Oryzias latipes: one gene and its partners. The protein of the gene in region 4 binds, or shares a complex with, the protein of the main gene of each other region. Links are inferred from orthologs where the notes say so. Each region holds a gene or a part of one and is shown on either strand. Other genes may lie near its edges. The genes, in order: dcp1a, arhgef6, pak1 and map3k5.

The links.
Region 1: map3k5 (region 4) and dcp1a share a complex: the UniProt entries of both Homo sapiens proteins name them as parts of the cytoplasmic complex. The link is inferred for Oryzias latipes from reciprocal best matches to the Homo sapiens genes MAP3K5 and DCP1A.
Region 2: map3k5 (region 4) and arhgef6 share a complex: the UniProt entries of both Homo sapiens proteins name them as parts of the cytoplasmic complex. The link is inferred for Oryzias latipes from reciprocal best matches to the Homo sapiens genes MAP3K5 and ARHGEF6.
Region 3: map3k5 (region 4) and pak1 share a complex: the UniProt entries of both Homo sapiens proteins name them as parts of the cytoplasmic complex. The link is inferred for Oryzias latipes from reciprocal best matches to the Homo sapiens genes MAP3K5 and PAK1.

Annotation. Positions count from the first base shown.
Region 1 is NC_019865.2:7,301,490-7,306,737, forward strand, and holds the start of dcp1a (mRNA-decapping enzyme 1A), read left to right. Parts: upstream 1-1,747; 5' UTR 1,748-1,786; coding exon 1,787-1,918; intron 1,919-2,212; coding exon 2,213-2,253; intron 2,254-2,740; coding exon 2,741-2,868; intron 2,869-4,991; coding exon 4,992-5,058; intron 5,059-5,237; coding exon 5,238-5,248. UniProt on the Homo sapiens protein: Necessary for the degradation of mRNAs, both in normal mRNA turnover and in nonsense-mediated mRNA decay. Removes the 7-methyl guanine cap structure from mRNA molecules, yielding a 5'-phosphorylated mRNA fragment and 7m-GDP.
Region 2 is NC_019868.2:11,001,466-11,006,571, forward strand, and holds the start of arhgef6 (rho guanine nucleotide exchange factor 6), read left to right. Parts: upstream 1-1,915; 5' UTR 1,916-2,072; coding exon 2,073-2,237; intron 2,238-2,957; exon of another isoform or gene 2,958-3,205; intron 3,206-3,288; coding exon 3,289-3,372; intron 3,373-4,942; coding exon 4,943-5,027; intron 5,028-5,106. UniProt on the Homo sapiens protein: Acts as a RAC1 guanine nucleotide exchange factor (GEF).
Region 3 is NC_019871.2:4,534,428-4,538,951, forward strand, and holds part of pak1 (serine/threonine-protein kinase PAK 1), read left to right. Parts: intron 1-630; coding exon 631-668; intron 669-2,731; coding exon 2,732-2,845; intron 2,846-4,524. UniProt on the Homo sapiens protein: Protein kinase involved in intracellular signaling pathways downstream of integrins and receptor-type kinases that plays an important role in cytoskeleton dynamics, in cell adhesion, migration, proliferation, apoptosis, mitosis, and in vesicle-mediated transport processes.
Region 4 is NC_019882.2:18,716,746-18,721,269, reverse strand, and holds part of map3k5 (mitogen-activated protein kinase kinase kinase 5), read left to right. Parts: intron 1-751; coding exon 752-867; intron 868-943; coding exon 944-1,020; intron 1,021-3,645; coding exon 3,646-3,706; 3' UTR 3,707-4,524. UniProt on the Homo sapiens protein: Serine/threonine kinase which acts as an essential component of the MAP kinase signal transduction pathway. Plays an important role in the cascades of cellular responses evoked by changes in the environment.

The DNA of each region.
Region 1 (5,248 bases), on a different chromosome or scaffold from region 4:
AAATATTAACTGATCTCTATATCAACTGTATTAAATAATGGTTTGGTTTTGAAATTCTGCTCTTGTGAATTAAACATTTCCCAGATATTAATAAAGTATTGAATGTCAAATAAAATAGATTATCACCAGAAACCATTCCAAATAATATGATGCGCTTTTGTAATTGAATAGAAATAGGAAAGGGAAACTTTGAGGAGCACCAAGAAAAAAAATCCTCCCAAAAATTGTTAACATATATACATTCCAAAAACAGATGATCAAGTGTTTCTATATTTATGTCACAGAAAGAACAGTTATTTTCTGGAAAACCAAAATGTATACGTAGTAGTTCTTTGCACGGATAGACTGCATTCTTACATCAAAATCACATTTTAGGAGGAATTCAATGCCCCCCAGATGGGAGAAAAAGTTTGAAGGAATATGAAACAAAATATTTATTTCATTTTGCAGAAAAGCCCTAAGCCAATTTATTTTAATCATACTATTCAAACTTTCAAAGTCTATGGCTTTAAATCCACCTTCACTGTAATCCTGAATTATTATTCATTTTTTATGTAATGAGTTTTGTTTTTCCAGATGAAGTTAAAATTGCCCTGGTTTCTTGTTTTCCTTGCAGATTTAGGAATTGGGAGTGAATATGCTGGATAAATGAATCTGGATAAACAATCTAATTTAGTGAGAAACATTCTGCCCAGAATAGAAATGTCACGCTGTGACCACATGTTTAAATTTACTTACAATTCACACTTGCTGAGATTTAGTTTTAAACCAGTTGCTTTAGAATAGGAATCTGCGGTTTGAAAGATCTCCGGTATTTGATGACTCTCCTTCATGAATACGGCCGTGTCGTCTGCCAGCTTAGTAATGGCTAACTGTTCTCCCAGGACATTGAGTTTACAGAAACCAGAGTTTGTTATAAGTATTGATAACATTTCTGTTGCTGTTATAAAAAGCAACGGTGAAAATTGGACAGCCTTGTTTAATTCTTTTGTTAATTAAAAATCTGGGAGAAATGCCATTCGGTGAAATAACTACACTGTTCGTATCGTTATAGATTGTTTTAACAAAACTTATGAAATTAGGTCCAAATCAAAATAATTCTAACTAAAACGTTTATCCAGAACAGATTTAAATTAAACATTGAGACACTTTGTAGCTTTGGTTGTGATTCCCCTGAAACAGTTATCCATCTTTTTTGGTATTGTCCCAAAGTTAAGGTGTTTTGGCAGAAGATGTGTGATTTTATTAATGATAAAATTGATTCTTGTTTTGTCTTGTTTTGGAAAGATGTCTTGTTGGGTCTAATATAAAAAAATATGCAAAAGGACTCTTGTTTACTTCTAAATCTTTTACTCATTTTGGCAAAATTCCATGTTCATAAATGTACATTTTCAGGTAGAAAACCCTGTTTCACTGTATTCTTTTCTAAATTAAATCAGTATATCAACAGTATTCGAAATTCAGAGAAGCAAAAAGCAATCAGAACATTGTCTGTATGTGATAGATTCAGTATTTTTTCGTAGAGTTTAACCCCCTGGCTTATAACTATTTCTAGTCTTGTTCTTCTGTTTGTTACAGAAGTGTATTTGATATTTGCAGTTGTGGTTTTTTTTTCATACCTAAAAGTACATTTTTGTAAAATGGCATAATGTGCAATAAAGTTGAGCTTTAAAAAAAAATAGTGGAAGTGGGGAACTATTTTTGAGCGCCGCCACTTCCGGGGACAAGCGAAGTTGAAAGTGTTTCAAAAAAATTCGTCCGTGTAGGTACAACAGACCGATCCAAGATGGAAACTGTAAGTGCGGGACATATGATGAGCTTAGCAGCTCTTCAAAGACAAGACCCCTATATAAACAAATTACTAGATGTAACTGGTCAAGTTGCACTTTACAACTTTAATTCTAAAGTAAACGAGTGGGTAAGTTCATTAGTTACTTTATGATTTTCTGTGATTCGAATGAGGCTTTATCATCATGTTTACTTAGCTCATGGTGCTAGCCCTCGTTAATCAAAACGCGACAGTAGCACTATGTTCACTAAAGCTTTACCGTACGTGGACCTTTATGCTTCGTTATTTTAGCTAATGCTATTTCTAGTCCTTTCAATTTTTGTATTTTTAAATGTATTTCCTTTAGTTAAACTATTGTTCACAGATTCGGCAGCACCTTTTCAGAACATGTTTTGACTTGTAATGTTATTTTAAACATTTTAGGAGAAGACCGACATCGAAGGCACTCTGTTTGTTTATGCCAGGTAAGATTAGCACTTGAACTCGTAATTTGATTGTTTACTTCATCATTGGGTGCTCTGCGCATGTGCACAGGCCACCGTAGGCGTATTTGTAAACAAATCGAGAAAACTTGCCCCAGCCTAGATTTTTATGTTTACAGTACAAAAAATGAATTTTGCTCATCAAACAATTTGCCAAGAAAACTGTACATTTATGATTTAATATAACTGACTTTTTTTTGCCTCAGAAATTTTTAAATCAAGTCATGTGCATTTATTTTCTGTCTTTTTTAGAAAATCATTAGGAAAATTAACAATAAAACTTGTTTTTAAAAATTGCCAGATTATATTTACCTTTAAACAAAGAATTGTAAAAACTAGAAATGTTTTTATCAATTTTGAAATATCCAACATTTCACTGTCATAAAAGTTTTTTTCAAGTGTTTTTTAATTGCTTTGTCAACAGTAAACAATGAAGCATTATCAACAGAGTGATGTTTGTTCCTTTTAGGTCTGCTTCTCCTTATCATGGCTTCACCATCATGAACAGATTAAGTACAGTCAACCTTGTGGAGCCTATTAACAAAGACCTGGAATTCCAACTGCAGGATCCTTTCTTGCTCTACAAGAATGGCAACTGTAAGTGGTTTGAATAAAAATCCTCATCAAAGTATGGAAGAGTTGTAATCATTAATTTAATTCAAAAGTGCTTTATAATGATGTTCTATTTAAGTAGATTTCAAGGAATAGTGATCTTTTGAAGCTACAAGGTATTCATTAAAACCAGGATGAGGCTGCCCACATGATTATAGAGTGAAACGTCTTGAGTTGAGATGAAGACATGCTGATTTAATGCTTAGATCACATTTTTTGTTGAAAATAGGAAGTCGTAAAAATTTCTGACCACATTGTCGATACAAAATTAGAATAAAGCACAATTCACTGAGTAATCCAGGACATTTTTGCCAAAGTAAAATGGAAATTTTCAAGTTAACTCTTGTTTTTTAAATACGCCGTTTTATTTGCAGCTTTTTTGTCCATTTCCTTTATTCTTTGTGAACCCACCTTAATGTATAAGTCATTGTAGTGCACCGCGGATTCACAAACTGTCAAAAGTGGCTGTCATACCTAGTTTGTGAACAATCTATTGTTCACAAATGCTCAAATAATTCTGACAGTACCTCTGAACATTCTGGATAAACACCTCCCCAGTGTTCGGTGGAACATCTCTTCTCCTTTTTGCTTGAACTCATGGTGACTTCTTGAAGCATTAAGCAGGAACACTTTGTCATTCATGGCCTACAGCGGCCTCGTAAACAAGCGCTTCCAGCTGGTTTTGCAACAGTTATCCTTCGCATTTGGGTCAAAAAGCAAAAAGAGTTCAAAGTTTCATTCATCAAACTTCTTCTGCTATAATTGTTTTAGTTTGCTGATTGTTCAATCCTGTAATTTCCTCCTGGAAAAATGGGTCAAATAGAAAAAAATTGCGCCATACTAGATCTTCAAAAAGTAGCTGACAGCACTTCCACCAAGATAATCAATGAGGAGTCTGAGCAGAAGTTTCATCAAAGCGATGAACAAAGAATTCGACTGCTTTCCCATTTGTTTGCTGATGAGAAAAGTTAGCATAGCCAAGGTTAAAGTCAAAGTGGATTGTTCTCCTTTGGGCTTTGGTTTTCCCAGCAGCCTGGCAGGTATGGAAGCCATGATGCAGTGTTTTGTTGGTGATCCAATATAGTCTGCTTCTCCAGTAGCTTCACTCAAGTCTTCGGGGCTTTTGTCATCGCTTACTTCCTTTCTGTCAGCTTTAGTTTCAAAAAGATAAAATGAAGAGCAGTTTTCTCAGGAAACATTAGCTGATAATGCTCCTTGAGTTGAGGTGAAGATACATCCGTCTTGGCAACTAAGCTTTTCTCTGCAAACGTTAGTCGAAGTGGTTTTTTTTTGTTTGTTTGTTTTTCCGTCGGTTGGTTTTCAGTCCCGTCTCACTCTGTTAGTTTATCCACTTGTTTGGAGAGAAAAATGTTTCTGCGCTTTTTCTCCTTTAGTGTAGGTTTGGCTTTGAAGGTGGAGATTCCAATTCTGATCTTGAAAGTCCTGCAAAAGAACAACCCACCCTCTGAAGGAGAAATGTCACCATCAAAAACGATCAGGATCCAAATATAATTCTCCAAATAAAGGGTTTAAATGTTTACGTTTCGCTCCTGTGAGTGGTGCAGAGCTCACTGCAAATGTGCTTGGATGTGGAGAATAGTGTTGCAGAGAAACACTTGGACACACCTGTTTACACCTCATCCTTTTCCCTTTGGACGCTGATGGTGCTGCAGGGAGGCAAATGTTTTGGTTGCCGGGTTACTGTTGCTTCACAAGAGATTCAGACACCGGGATTTTACAACACACTTGCAACATAAAGTAATAACAACCAGATATTATTTTTACAGTTAAACCTTTTTGTAATTACATTATTTTACATTTCAGTAGTAGTTTGATCTGTGCGATCAAAGTCCTTTCATAAACTTCAGTTTTTAGTTTTCCACATCTGGTTCTTGGAAGAATTCTGTGAACTTCTTTTATTCTATCAGTTTTTTTACCCATTTTATTCAAACAGATGTTTAAACTTTAGGATTATTAAGTAAGCTTTAATATTTGATCTTGTTGTTGTTGAGAACTAATGATTAAATTAATCATTCACAGCCTTTTGGGGTTATTTTTTTGCATTACTGCTTTACCTAACAGAATGTCTGTTTCTATATTTCTTCTAGTGGGCATCTACAGTATTTGGTTCTATGACAAGAGGGACTGTCGGCGCATAGCTCAGCTGATGCTCAAGTAAGTGAGCTGAAATGTACCCAATAAGTTAGTTTATTAATGAGGTAAAACTGTAGGTGAATTCAAAATCCTATTTGCATTAGTATTTCAGACGTGTAAATGTACCAAGGAACCAAATGAAAAGTTTGAAATGATACAAACAGTGCTGTACGGGACGTTTATAGTTGAGTCTCTTTCAGGATCGTGAAAC
Region 2 (5,106 bases), on a different chromosome or scaffold from region 4:
GGAGCAGGGAGCTTGGGGCCCACCCAGCATATTCTTAATGACAGAAATAAGCTCTTTTTCAAACACCATTTTTCTGTTTTTTTTTGTTGAATCACGTTTGATTAAAGAAATACTGTACTCAGAAATGCAATTTTGAGCTTAATGATTTTTATACATGTCCTCCATGGGTGGAAAAAAAGCCAAAAGATGTTTTAAATGTTAAATCAAAAATGCGTGTTCTCTACAGAATGCACTCCTCCCTCACCTTCCTTCTCTGCAAGCTGAAAACTGGTGCAAACAACCATCCTTCCTATTCTTGATTATGGTGATTTTTATCAACATCATCTGCTGCTAAAGTTGGAACACATCAATCTCTCTGCTATTTGTTCATCTTCTAAACCCTTTTGGGGTCACGGGGCTGCTGGAGCCTATCCCGGCCACTCGTGGGTGAAGGCAGGGGACGTCCTGGACAGGTCGCCAGTCTTTCGCAGGGCCACAATCGCACACCCTCACATTCACACCCAGGGACAATTTAGAGTAACCAATTAACCCATGAAGCATGTTTTTGGACTGTTGGAGGAAGCCGGAGAAATCCACACATGCACTGGGAGAAAATGCACACTCCACCCATTGATGTTCTGTTTCAGGTCCCCCAGCCGGGATTTGAACCAGCAGCCTTTCTTGCTGTGAGGCAAGAGCGCTAGGGCAGACCTTTAAAATAATGAAAAACGTTCTTATAGTAACTATTTAATTAACATCAAAATCTAAACCTGAGACAGGATTCTGTAAGTAGTTCTGCTCTGGACTCACTATTTCTGCAGCTTTTCCACCTGCTTGGTGTTTGTGTGTGGGATGAGTGTTTTGCCTTGTGTTGGAAAACAACATAGTCTCCAGTTGGCTACCATGAAGAATGACACTTCCTTTATCCCATCATAATAACTTAACTCTCCCAGTTTCCCCTTCAGATACTTTGACACAACACCAGCTGCTGGTGTGTTTGGTTTGCAGTAACTGTATAATAACAAAAAAAGTAATTGGATTACTCTGTAAAAATAATGGTGTTAATTAATCAACACTTAATTGCTGTTATTTGAAGCACTGGTTGTAAATGTAGCTTTCTGATTTTTGGGGGGTTTTGGGTTCTAGCTCTTCTTATTTTAAAAATATTAGGTGGACCCTGCCTTAAACAAAGTGACATCGTCCACTCCATTACTTATCCTTGTAACTGCTGCATATTTATCTGAAGTTAATGAGCTAAAGCGCAATGATTTAAAACAAAGTACTAAAATATGATTGTTTTTGTTTTTTCCAGGTCCTGGCAGAACCTTCTCTTGAGGTTTGGGCTGGACTGCATCAAGTGGAAGAACTTGTAGAAAGAGGAGCAAGTTAAAGTTTTGATGAAGTTTACAGTTGGGCTTAATAAAGATTTTGGAGGGAAAAATGTTTTGCCTCATCTCTTTCTATATACATATATATTTATAATAGTAAATATTAAAGTACAAGGAAAGGGAGTCATGGTTGAACTTCCTATATATATATATATATATATATATATATATATATATATATATATATATATATATATATATATATATATATATATATATATATATATATATATATATATATATATATATATATATATATATATATATATATATATATATATATATATATATGTGTATATATATATATATATATGTGTGTATATATATATATATATATGTGTGTATATATATATATATATATATATATATATATGTATATATATATATATATATATATATATATATATATATATATATATATATTAAAAGGCTGGTAATTTTAATGTGATGTGTTGATTTCCATCAATCACGAGTGGTTGTGTGCATCTTGAAGGATGTGCTGCTCTGCAGGAGGAAGCTCTGCTTGTCGAGGTGCCTGTTTGCCAGTAGGGGTAGCGTGCAGTGGCCGCGTCCTCCTCCGCCAACTGCCTCTTTTTTTTTTTTTTAACTTGTAGCAGAAGTGCGGATGTGAGTTGCATGTTGATGGGTAGCACAGCAGCTTCAATATTTTTTTTAACGATGCAGTTTTAGGAGGACCGCGGAGCTATGAATCCAGAGGAGCAGACGGTAACGTGGTTGATCTCGCTGGGGGTGCTCAGCTCGCCCAAAAAGAACATAGCGGACCCGGAGGAGTTTCTAAAAGCATCCCTGAAGGATGGGGTCGTCCTGTGCAAGCTCACGGAGCGCCTCATACCCGACTTCACTCCCAAGGTGAGACGTCGAGTTCACCGGACAAATGGCACCAAATTAACGGCTCTCTGGTGGAGAAGAAGGAATAGGCTCGCCGAAAGCGATACTGACAGGAACTTAGTTGTCCCTGCAGACGGCCCTGCTGCTGTGTGTGTGTCCCCCAGCCGACACATTTTACCACCGAATGTTCCTTTATGTCGCGTGCTTATCTCGAAGTTTTAGCAACACTTTAGATTCACGCGCGCTGGCTTTTCAGGGAGTTGTTTCTGTACGTGTGGAAAAAAAATCTGTTCCGCATTCTTGACGCGAGCGGGTCGGTGTGGAGAGATGTTGTCAAAATACGACGAACTTGACACTTCAAGAGCACGGAGGGCGGCAAATGTCATAAGTGTGAGCGTGCGTGGTACTTTATTTGTATTACACATGACATTATAGACTTTTAAACTGGAAAAGACGCGCCATAACTTATGCTAAACGCAAAGATGGCAAAGTTGATAGTGATAACAGTTGCAAATGTAGGTCGTCACTTCCTCTTGAACGGCTGTTCTTCCCGGTGCGACCTCCCCTTTGAAAAAAGTGCAAAGCGCCGCCACTAGCGTAAAGACGCAGAACGCAACCGGAAGCAACACTTTTAAGTTGCCCACATTTGCATCTTACGGCTCTAATACATGTGTTTTTTTTTCTGACAAGTTGCTACATTCAAAAATAAAAACGGTCCCTCCCCCAAAAATATGTAAATGTCACAGTCGCCTGTAACTTTTATTGATAAAATACCATATTTTATTTTGAAATCTGGGGAAGCGGCCGGAAGCTTTGGTGAAACAAGTTGTTCTTTACATTTGTTTGGTGTAACGGCTTGAAAATGCAAGTAGAAAATGAAGGAGAAATGTAGTCATGCTTTCAAGTATGTTATTATATCACGTTGGGATTATAAACATGTCACTTTACTTGCTTCTAAGTCGCATTGAAATGAAAACCGTGTCTGCTAGGTGCGTATCAGATAAACAGTTTGCTTCACCAAAGCTAGATACTAGACGTTTTTCTATTTATCTAGTGTTTTGTTTTATAATAGTGTTCTCAAGAACCAAGAACTGAAGCGGAATGCATCTCCAACATCCGAGAGTTTTTAAGAGGATGCTCGTCCTTGAAAGTAGAGGTAAGGTGAATCTGATGGACTTCTTTTTGCCTGTTTTACCTTAAAGACATGAGGAGCTGACCTTTGACCTTTATCACTATTACCTGTTTACTCTGTCCTTGGAATCTCTTGCAGGTCTTCTGTCTGATTTGACCAACTCTTGCTTGTGTTTGGGTATTTGTTGTGTGAGCCACTTTCTAGGCTGTCACTCACACTTACCAGGGATTGCTGGTCAAAATCCTTATTTATTTGTATTATTTTTTGATAAATTCTTAATTTTATTTTATTGTTATAGTGCTTATTGTCAGTAAAGACCTCTAGGTACCTTTTGCAGGTTTCTATTGCTGAACAAGAAACCAGGCGAATTGCTTACAGATGTTGGGAGTTTACCTCTCTACCAGCCTGCCTGTTTTTACCACAGCAGACATTAATGTCTCCCTCAACTTTATAAATAATCGGCTCTGGTTAGAGGCCCAGAAATGATTCCTTTGAAGCGTTAATCGAGTCAGCCCAGCTTGGTCCACTCCGGTGGTTTACTAGGCTTGCCCAGCTGGCTTGTTATGTCTGAGAGGTCTTCTTTGCTCTTATTCACCAGCTCGGTTTTAGCCCATAATTAGACCTTTCGCAGTCAGCCAGTAGGTCATGGGCAGAGGTCTGTGGAGCGCTTCTGCCAAATGTATCAGCCAGAAAATATCTTTCAGTCATTCGGGGAGAGCATACTTTCCTCTTCTTTTTCTTTCTTTCTTATTCTTTCTGTTATATTACTAAAGCAAACCGTGCCTGTAGGCCAAGTTACTACATACATAAAGAGAGCAGCAGCCATTCTGCTTTCACTTCTGCTCTGCGAGGACAAAAAAAGGAAGACTGCTGCTTTTGTTGAGCCTCAGAATTTTTTTTTACTGCATAATATTCACCAGAAAAGATGGACTGGTCAGAATTCTTTTTTTTTTTTTTTGGATGCTAAGAAGACAAATATTTATGGGAACTATCACACTTTTAATCACAGATTGTCTCTGTTAAACATGGCTTACCTGTCTTTCCCTCTGTTTTTCTTAGCTATGCAACAAAATTCCGATTTCCAATTTTTAAACAAACATAAATTACACATGAACCACCTTATTGTTGATTAATAAAGAAAAAAGACAGACAAAGTGGATTATAACAGCTATATAGATCCTGGGATGACCTCATATTGGCCGCCATACTGGTCGAACATTGCCCAGAGGCTGCACACAGCACAGTTTATACTACTTAAACTCTATATTTAAGATGTTTTATTTAAAATGTGAAACCTTAGCCAAAGGAGGAAAGAAGATAGCTGTCTTGGACCGATTAGGCAAGCAGTGAGTGTGCAAGTGTGTAAAGGAAAGTGGACAGGAACCACAGATGAGTATGGCCCGCCATTTCCTTCTTTTATTAAAGACTGAAAAATGACGGAAAACAGGCCATGTACATAGATAGATAGATAGATAGATAGATAGATAGATAGATAGATAGATAGATAGATAGATAGATAGATAGATAAAAAAGCTTTTTATAAAGGGCAGCTTTTGGTTTCTAACATCCTCTTCTCTGCTACCTGTCCATCCAGGGCTTTGAACCAGAGTGGTTATATACTGGAGAGAATTTCGGCAAAGTTCTGGCTACTTTGATGGCATTCAATTTTGCTACACAAGGTAAGAGTGAAGCTCTTTTTCCCAACAGTGAATTTGACCCTTGCTGGATGACTTGCTTCTACCTAAATCCCTATCTGCT
Region 3 (4,524 bases), on a different chromosome or scaffold from region 4:
TTTTTATTGTTATTTTACCAATGATACTAAGGTTATGTTTTAATCAGTTTACATATTTTATTTTTTAATACCTAACATTCTTATATCTTATTTTAATTTTTATCTTTTTCTATTTTTATTGTTGTTATTTTATGATAATTTTTATTCTGATGTTTTTTACTCCAGTGTTTCCTCTTGGAATAAAAAAACTCAATCTTTTTATTTCTTCGTTTGCATAAAGAAAAACCAATAGAGATATTTGATGACAGTTTTGAACGTTTTTTAAGAGTTTTGGAGCCTGGAAGTCTGAAGCTGTGAATATCTTGCTAACTTTACCGAACTGTTTTTGTGCGCCTCCTGCTGTGCTTTACGCCAATAAAATGTAATCTGTTCATGATATGCAGACCTCTAGTAGAATACTTATTTGTGGTAATAAGCTTGAAATATATGATCATAATAACAAGGAAATAATGATTCAACATCTGACTCCAATAAAGTGTGAAACGACGCGATTCGCCCGTATTCCAGTCACGTGATCGGATTGGGACATCCCTATTTCTTTAGTACTTGTATCACAATTGATGTTAGGTTTCTTTTAGATCATTTTTATAACATGTATCATATAATTTTTTTGTCTTTTTCTTATTGCAGATAAAAACCTAGACGTGTACAGCTCCTCCACCACAACGGTAAGACCGCCTCTGATTCGCTCCCTAAGGACACGTGACACATTTACTCATTTGTGTAAGAAATTAAGCAAAAGAAGAACTCAGAAACTAAAGTGACATGTTTTGTTTTTTCTTGTCTTAGTTCTGTTGGCAAAGTTCATGATGCTGTTGGTTTTAAAAGTTCCTCACCAACCTGCAAGGATTCCACAGCCTCACACAAAGCAGCGTGGAATTATGGTCATTACTCGCTTGGCAGATCTCTTTCATGCCGGTTGCTGTGCGTTGTGTAGACCTAAGAGAAAGAATTCAGTCCTTAGTGCATCTGCTGACTCGCCTGAAAGCGGATTTATCTAAAGCAGAATGGAACAATCCTTAAAGTAGAAAGGATAAAATGAGAGTTTGACAACAAACTCAAACGTAAATGCTAATTTTGTAGCTGGAACGAGGCATTTTTTAAAATTTCCCCACAATACATATTTCAAAAGAAATCTTTTTCAGACTTCTTTTGAAAAATATTTCTCTAAAGAGTAATGTACTAAATATTATTGTGGTAAAACGCGTGTTTCAAAGGAATTTAAAAGCATATTTAGGGAAATCACTACTTTTCCTTTCAACATGGGAGCCCATTTGGTAGAACAGTTGCAATCACAATGGGGCGCTTGCCAGTGTTTCCCCATTGACTGTATATGAGAACTGAACTGAGTGACTCCGCCCCTCTGACGTTTAGAACAGGAAGTACCTGCTGGCTCCAAGATGCCAAAATCCCATATACGTCATTTGAAAAAAAATAGCTGTTACTCAGTCATGCTATTGGTTAGAAAAACAAATTTTATTCTGATACTTTTTTTTTAACTTGTTTTTGATAATCATAACTTTTTTTTAATTATATGTTTTTCTTTATCACAAGTTATTCAGGTTATAAATTTATTCCCTTAAAAAAAAGTATGTGATCCCCGCTGGCCCCCCAAGGGCTTCGCAATTAAAGAAAGACAAGCGCTATTTTATAAATAAAGTTTGATTTGATTTGATTTGAAAAGACGTTTAAAGTTTTAAAGAAAAAGAGTTATTGTGACCCTCACTCGAAAACGTTTGGGGACCCCTGCTCTAGCATCCGTGTGGTGTTTGAAGGTTTGTTGTTTTTCAATCTTCCAATCATTCAAACACCACATGAACGCAGCATTTCTCTAAGTTTTACACGAAGTACATCAAGCCATTGGTGCAACTGGCTCTAAATTGAGAACTAACGTTTTAACCTAAAAACTCTAAAATGCTCTGTTTTAAAATATAATTTTAAATCCAACTGCTTTTCATCCAGATGCCATGTTATTTCTTTCTCACTCCGTGCATCTGCTCCTGGTCCGGCCCTTCTATTTAATTTTAGAACCCTATTTGGCCCGCCAGTCAAAATATGTGCCCAGCCCTGCTGGTAGATGTAAAAATCGCCCTAAAAGATTCAAAATTAAATTAAATATTTACATAACATTCATAAAATATCTTAAACCAAATATATCAACTATATTTTGAGGCCAAAAAAGGAAAAAACAAAGTTCTGATTGTGTGTCGGAATGCTCCTTAATCAGAGACTCTTGCAGTGACAGACTGCTTTTGAACTCGATTTTGTTTCATTTCTGAACGTAATGGTGAAGACAACGATGAAGAACAGCAGGAGTTCCTCCAGATGTACTCCTCTGTCTCCTCCTCTGCATTATGAATCAGCATCTTGTCTCCTCGCCATTTGCCCGTCCCTGCAGCTTGGCCACCAGCCGAGCATCGCGGGCAGACAGAGGAGGAGGAGGAGAAGAAGAGAGGAAGATGTAGCATCACAAGCCACACCTGAGCAGAGCTTTCAGACGGCAAAGGAGATGACGGGAGGCGGGCGAACAAAAAGATGGAGGGAGAGTTGAAAGGGTTGAATAAGACCCAGAGAAGAAGAGCTGAAGACGGGCAGGAGGAATGTCTGCCTGATGAGATTAGGAAGCATCAGAGAGCAGCAGGAAGCAATGATGGGTCTCGTATCGATGATCGCTCATGTAGCCATGGCGTCACTCAGGCTCCTCCCTCTCTCCCCCTGTGACATCATGCAGAGCACCAAAGCCGTGTTGGAGACTCCCGCCATAGCAACCGTATCCGAGGATGAAGACGAGGAGGAGGTGGAGCCCCCGCCGGTGGTTGCGCCCCGTCCAGAACACACAAAATCAGTAAGAATTTACTTTTTTGTTGTTTTTTGTATTATACTTCTTAGTAAACTTTTAGTAGAGACTTTTTAAAGTATATTTCATTTTACACACTTTTGAAAAAAAGACAGATTGGTTTTAAAAGAAAACATTGTTTCAAAACACACTTGGCTACATTTGATATCAAATCAAAACTTTATTCATAAAGAAGTTTTCATACAAACGTAACAGGAAGTGCTTATATACTTTGCTTAAACAGTATGTTTTAAGAAATAAAAGTATGTAAAATTTGTCCAACACAAGAGGCCTTCACGTCCTTTCTCTCTGCTGGACAGAATGAAATTTAAAAATAAATAAATAAAACTTTGGTAAGGAGCAGGCCCACCCCCCCTTCCCCTCCCCTTTGCTGGGAGCTTGGAGCATGAAGCTTGCCCACCTAGCATATTTTAAGATCAGAATTAAGCGCTTTTTCAAACGGAAAATTTCCTCTGCTCCTGATTCACAACAGTTTGGTTAAAGAAATACTCAGAAATTACATTTTATGCTTGATTCTCTTTATATATGTCCTCAATAAGCAGAAAATTGCCACAAGATGTTAAAAACATAAAAAAAATGTTTAATCAGAGTGGGTCTTCAAGTGACTTTCATAAATATTCAATCAAAAGATGAAAATATTTCAGTATTAGTTGGAATGCATGTGAAGTCAGAAGTGTTTTTGCATTTGTAAAAATACATGACACGATGAAAATTTATTTTCACAACTTCTATTAAAAACACAGGAAAAAAAAGCACAAAGTTATGCAAAATGCTAAGAAACAAACTGAAACAAACTTTTCCAATTAGCCTTTGAGCTTATCATAGCTGTCTTTGATGAGAACATGTTATGAAAGTATGCAAAATAAAGGTAAAACTGCTTTACACTTTTACTCACCCTTACAGCGTAAGTCAATATATAGAAGAAGTTTAGAGTCAAGAAGGTTTTCTTCTGACATTTGATAAGGTGTTCGTTGGAATCATCCTCTCCTCATTCACACCAACCATCCCCATGCTCTTCTTCACTACATCAATGGTCCCTGCCCCTCCTCTGAAACCATCACAATCTGCTTCCCAGGATCAGTTCCTCTGATGGATTCATTCCTCATCCTGGTCAGAGAACCTCAACATCTTCATCTCTGCCACCTGTCTCTTTCTCAGACCCACTGTCTGTCAAATCTTTAAAGTCATTTGAAAAAACTTTTCTAAACAGAATGTGATTAATGCCAAACTCAATAAATGGATTCAATTATTTAAAAAAGTGGCACGAAAACTATAGATGCTCGTTCAAAGATGTTGGTGGAGTCATGACAGCGACTTTATCTGACTATTGCAACCGGATATGACATTATATTATTCTTTAACCTTTTATTTCTATTTTTTCAATTAAAAAAATCATTGTTTATGAACTGTTTATACATCTGCTATTGCTGATGCATTCCTCCTCGTCTTTTAGTCACGTTATAGATGTTTAGATATGACAGTTTGAGGCTCTCTGAAGTCACGAGTGGATCTCTGGAAGCCAAAGCTCATTAGCCGTTTCATTTTTAAACGGAGCCGTCCTCCGCCTCATCGAGTCTCAACAACGTTACGACTGCTTCAGCGTGTGATGGTCACGGGGAACGCTTTATTTAGAACCAGGTTTTTCTAAGAAGCCCTTTGTTTCCTCC
Region 4 (4,524 bases):
ATTATTCTAATTTTTTTTTTTTACTTCCAAAATATGACTTTAAAAAGCTCTTTATCATCTAAAAAACCAGACATGAAAAAAAGGGTGTTTTTATTTTCTAACCCAGAAAAACATAACTGTTAATAGTGATTATCTTCATAAAGGTTTGGGTAAACATTGTCTTAAACACTGTGAACAATCAAAAGTTTAGACTGAAAAGTTCACGGTTTTTGGTATTAGCTTGAGGAAAAGTGAACATAGGGAAATGGTGGAGATTTCCAGGTCAAACATTTCATCAGGGCTTAGTTAAAAACTGTGGGTGAGTGAAGCCAAATGTATCCAAACAAAAACCGTGGCAAGATGGCCACTAAAACAACCGTTTTGTGTTCACCTTTGATTTCAAAAAATGAACAAGAAGCCAAATAAAAGTCGATAGAGTTCGGTTGTCATGGACATGAAATCCGGTCTGAATATGTCTTTAAGTTTGTTTAACCCCCGATGCCTGGTCCATATGCAAACTGAGCTTTAAAGGGTTAAAGGTGAACATTAAAGTAAATTGGAATGAAAAAAAACTGAATTCCTTCACCAATAAAAAACATTAAAGAGAGATAATTCCGGAACCGTTTAACCCCAGAGATGTCGCCGTGTCCCCTTAATAACTAGTTTTTTGAATAAACATAACTTAACGTATGGTATAGCGCTCCCCCCCCCGTGTGAACATTTGATGAAAAGCTCATTGCGCTGACCGAGTCTCCTTATCCACTTCTGTCAGGAACCACAGTGGACGTCCAGCAGGAGCTCAGGAGTCAGCGCGCCGACAGTCGCGAAGACCCGGAGCTGAGCAGCTGGCTGAGGCTCTGCGGCCTGGAGCAGGACGCCATAGACGCGGTGAGGCCCTGCCGCAGCGCGCAACACCTTCCTTTGGGTTTGAACTAAGCAGAATCAACTCCTGCAATTTATCCAGATACTGAACGAGGAGTTTACGCTGAACAACATGCTCTACGATGTAACGAGGGACGATCTGAAGAGCCTCAACCTGAGGTAACACACCCACTTTTTTATGTTTTTAGTCTCACTTCTGCATCCAGACTCAAACACAGAAAAATGCAGAAGAGAAGCTGCAAGAGTTGTTTCATAACACTTTATGCTGCGGTGTTTTTCCAATTTGTAAACTGATTTCATGAGTTCAGATTGAAAATATCTGTCATTTATTTAAAGAAAAACTCTAAAACTCTAAAACAGAATCACCAAAGAACAGTAATAATTTAGAGTTTGTCGCCACCCAGTGGTCAGTCAGCAGCAAATGCTGTGCTAGGAAATGTTATAGTGAACAAATACGTCTGTTGGAGCAGTTTTCTTTTTAAATGGCACAATTTTTGAGAAAAATGTCAGTTTAAAAAAAAGTGCTCATTTGTCATGAAATATCATCGATTTCATCCGGTATATAAACCCCCAAAAAAAGGTCTTGCAGCAAGGAAAATATTTCATCTGCAATTAATCAGCATTTGTAACAGATAACTTCTAGGCTATCCTTGTCTGCACAAAATGTGAAAAACAAAATGTTTTTGGTATACTTCTGGGAAAAAAATCAGCAAGAATGTCAACAACAAAAAACTAAACTGTAACTATGTGTATTTCTGATATTACCTTGTCAAAGTTGTAGATCAACTTGCCTCTGCAACACCACCCCCTAGTGGTTGATCAGTAAACTACAGATTCCTAGTTAACCCTTCACAGCATGACTTTTTGACAGCTTCAACACTATTCTGACATTTTAACGCCTTACTAACGTAAAGTGTTGCATAGCGGGGGCAAAGCTGCTTTTCTCTGTTTCAGAATCAGCTAAAGTTACGTTTATTGTGTAAACAGTTGAAGAGTTACGGTAGAATGTCAACACTAGAGCTGAAGCTCCAGTGATAGTAATCTGAAAATAACAGAGGAAAAGAGGAAAAGAATGCAGTGAAACGAGTTAAAAGATTAAAACTAAAATCTCGTGCATTCTTATGTTTTCTTTCGTTTTTTGCATATATTTCCCCCTAGTGGATATTTAAGATAAGATGAGATAAACTTTATTCATCCCACAATGGGGAAATTATTTTATCTCAAGCAGCAAAAATAGACATTCAGAAGTACAAACAGAAAATAACTTAATAAAAATATGCAGCAGAATCAACTGTAGAAGGATAAAAAAACAACGACAACAACAGTTTACAAAATAAATAGAATGAATGAAAAAACAAAACACCTGTGGGACCGTAGTGTTTCACTGTAACACGGTGTTGGACAGTCTGATGGCTGTGGGGAGGAATGACCTGCAGTAGCTCCTTCTTGCACGTTGGATGCAACAGTCTGGTGCTGAAGAAGGTGGTCAGCGCCTCCACAGTTTGGTGCAGGGGGTGGGAGGGGGTATCCATGATGGATGTTAGCTTAGCTAACATGTTAGCTTAGCTAACATCCTCTTGTCCCCCACCTCCTCCATGGACTCCAGTGTGCAGCCCAGGACAGAGCCGGCCTTCTTAACCAGTTTGTTAAGCCTCCTCCTGTCTCTGTCTGCACTGCCCCCCGCCCAGCACACAACTCCATAAAGGACCACTGAGGCCACCACAGTGTCGTAAAAGGTCCTCAGCAGCTGTCTGCACACGCCAAACGACCTCAGTCTCCTCAGCAGGTGAAGGCGACTCTGGCCCCTCCTGTACAGAGCATCCGTGTTGTTGGACCAGTCAAGTCTGTTGTTCAGGTGAACACCCAGATATTTAAATGTGTCCACGACCTCAATGTCTGAACCCTGGATGTCCACCAGTGACTGTGGTGGCGAGGACCTCCTGAAGTCCAGGATCAGCTCCTTTGTCTTGCTGGTGTTAAGCAGCAGGTGGTTATTTTCACACCAGCCAACAGAGTCAGAGATGACCCCCCTGAAACGCAGCCCACAATGGCACTGTCCTCTGAGAACTTCTGCAGATGACCGTGGTGGGAGACGTATTTAAAGTCTGATGTGTACAGGGTGAACAGGAATGGGGAGAGCACAGTCCCTTGAGGTGCCCCCGTGCTGCAGACCACCACATCAGACACACAGTCATGCAGCCTCACAAACTGTGGTCTGTCTGTGAGGTAGTTGATGGTCCAAGCAGCCAGATGTTGGTCACACCTGCAACTTCCAGCTTCCTCCTCAGCAGTGATGGCTGGATGGTGTTAAAGGCACTGGAGGAATCAAAAAACATGACTCTCACAGTGCTCCCAGGGGTCTCCAGGTGAGACAGGGCCCGATGCTGCAGGTAGATGATGGCGTCATCCACCCCGATGCCTGGTCGATATGCAAACTGCAGCAGGTCCAGTGCTGAGCTCACCTGAGTGCGGAGATGGCTGAGGATGATCCTCTCCATGGCCTTCATTCATTTTGATGTGTATGTGCTAAACAAGGATATTTTCATCATCTGCCTCTTCTTAAAAATGCTAAATAAAAACATTCGTGTGCTAAAAAGTCAAAGACAAACTAATTTTATGCTGTTTCCACTAAATAAACAACTAAATGCAACATAAAGTTGTGATTTTTCATTCTTATTCTTATTTACACTTTTTGGTTATAAATAAAGCTTTCTTTTGATCAGATCTGTAATATGGTGCTGTCAATAAAGTTTTATGTCCCGCGTGAACCTGCTTTGTCTGCAGAGGAGGAGTCCTGTGTAAACTCTGGAAGGCCATCAGCGACCACAGACAGAAACCAGCCTGATGCCTTAAATGGAAAAAGCCCGCAGAGACGCCGACGTCCCAGCATTCCCTCCTTACCTCAGTATTTATAGGAGCCAGAGTTTGGGTTTTTAGCACAAAATGACCTTTTCTGCAGTGAATTGATGAATCTCGATCCCTTTGAAAAACAAAAGGATGACTAAGAAGTGCCACTCGCTCAAATTCAACACGAAAGCTTTAGTTACAGGTGTGCCTAAAATGCCATTTGATAGAAACAGGAAATAATAAACTCCTAAAAAATAGTCTGAAAGTAGAAATCTGTTTCTGTCTTTACCAAATGTGATGTTTACAGAAATACTGATCATTTTCTAAAGAAAAAAAAAAGCCTGAGATACAAAAAAAACTACACTTGACTTTGAGCTTTTTATGACAGAATATTATCACTACTTTATTTAAATGTTTATAGTTTAACTATTGAATTTTGTCTGCGCATGGCCTCCGCAAACTGAAACTTATTTAAATTTCTTTTGGGTTTATTTTTTTTTCACATTTTCTCTGACAAATAAATCAAAAAGTTTTATTTCTAATATTTGCTGTAAATATTGTGATATAAGAATCTATGTGAATAAAATATGTCATATATAGAGGGCACTGCGGGCTTAGAGCATAGACGACATGCGGACCAAGTTTGTTTATTTTTAGTGCCGCATATGATAGAAAATATCACCCTAAATGATTTAACATCCTCTGTTTTTATTGTTTATTCGGCCAACAAGAATAAAAAAAAAACATTTTCACACAAATTACCTTTTTTAATCATGTCAAAAATGTGGGGATGTAATTATTAACATTGTGTTTGTT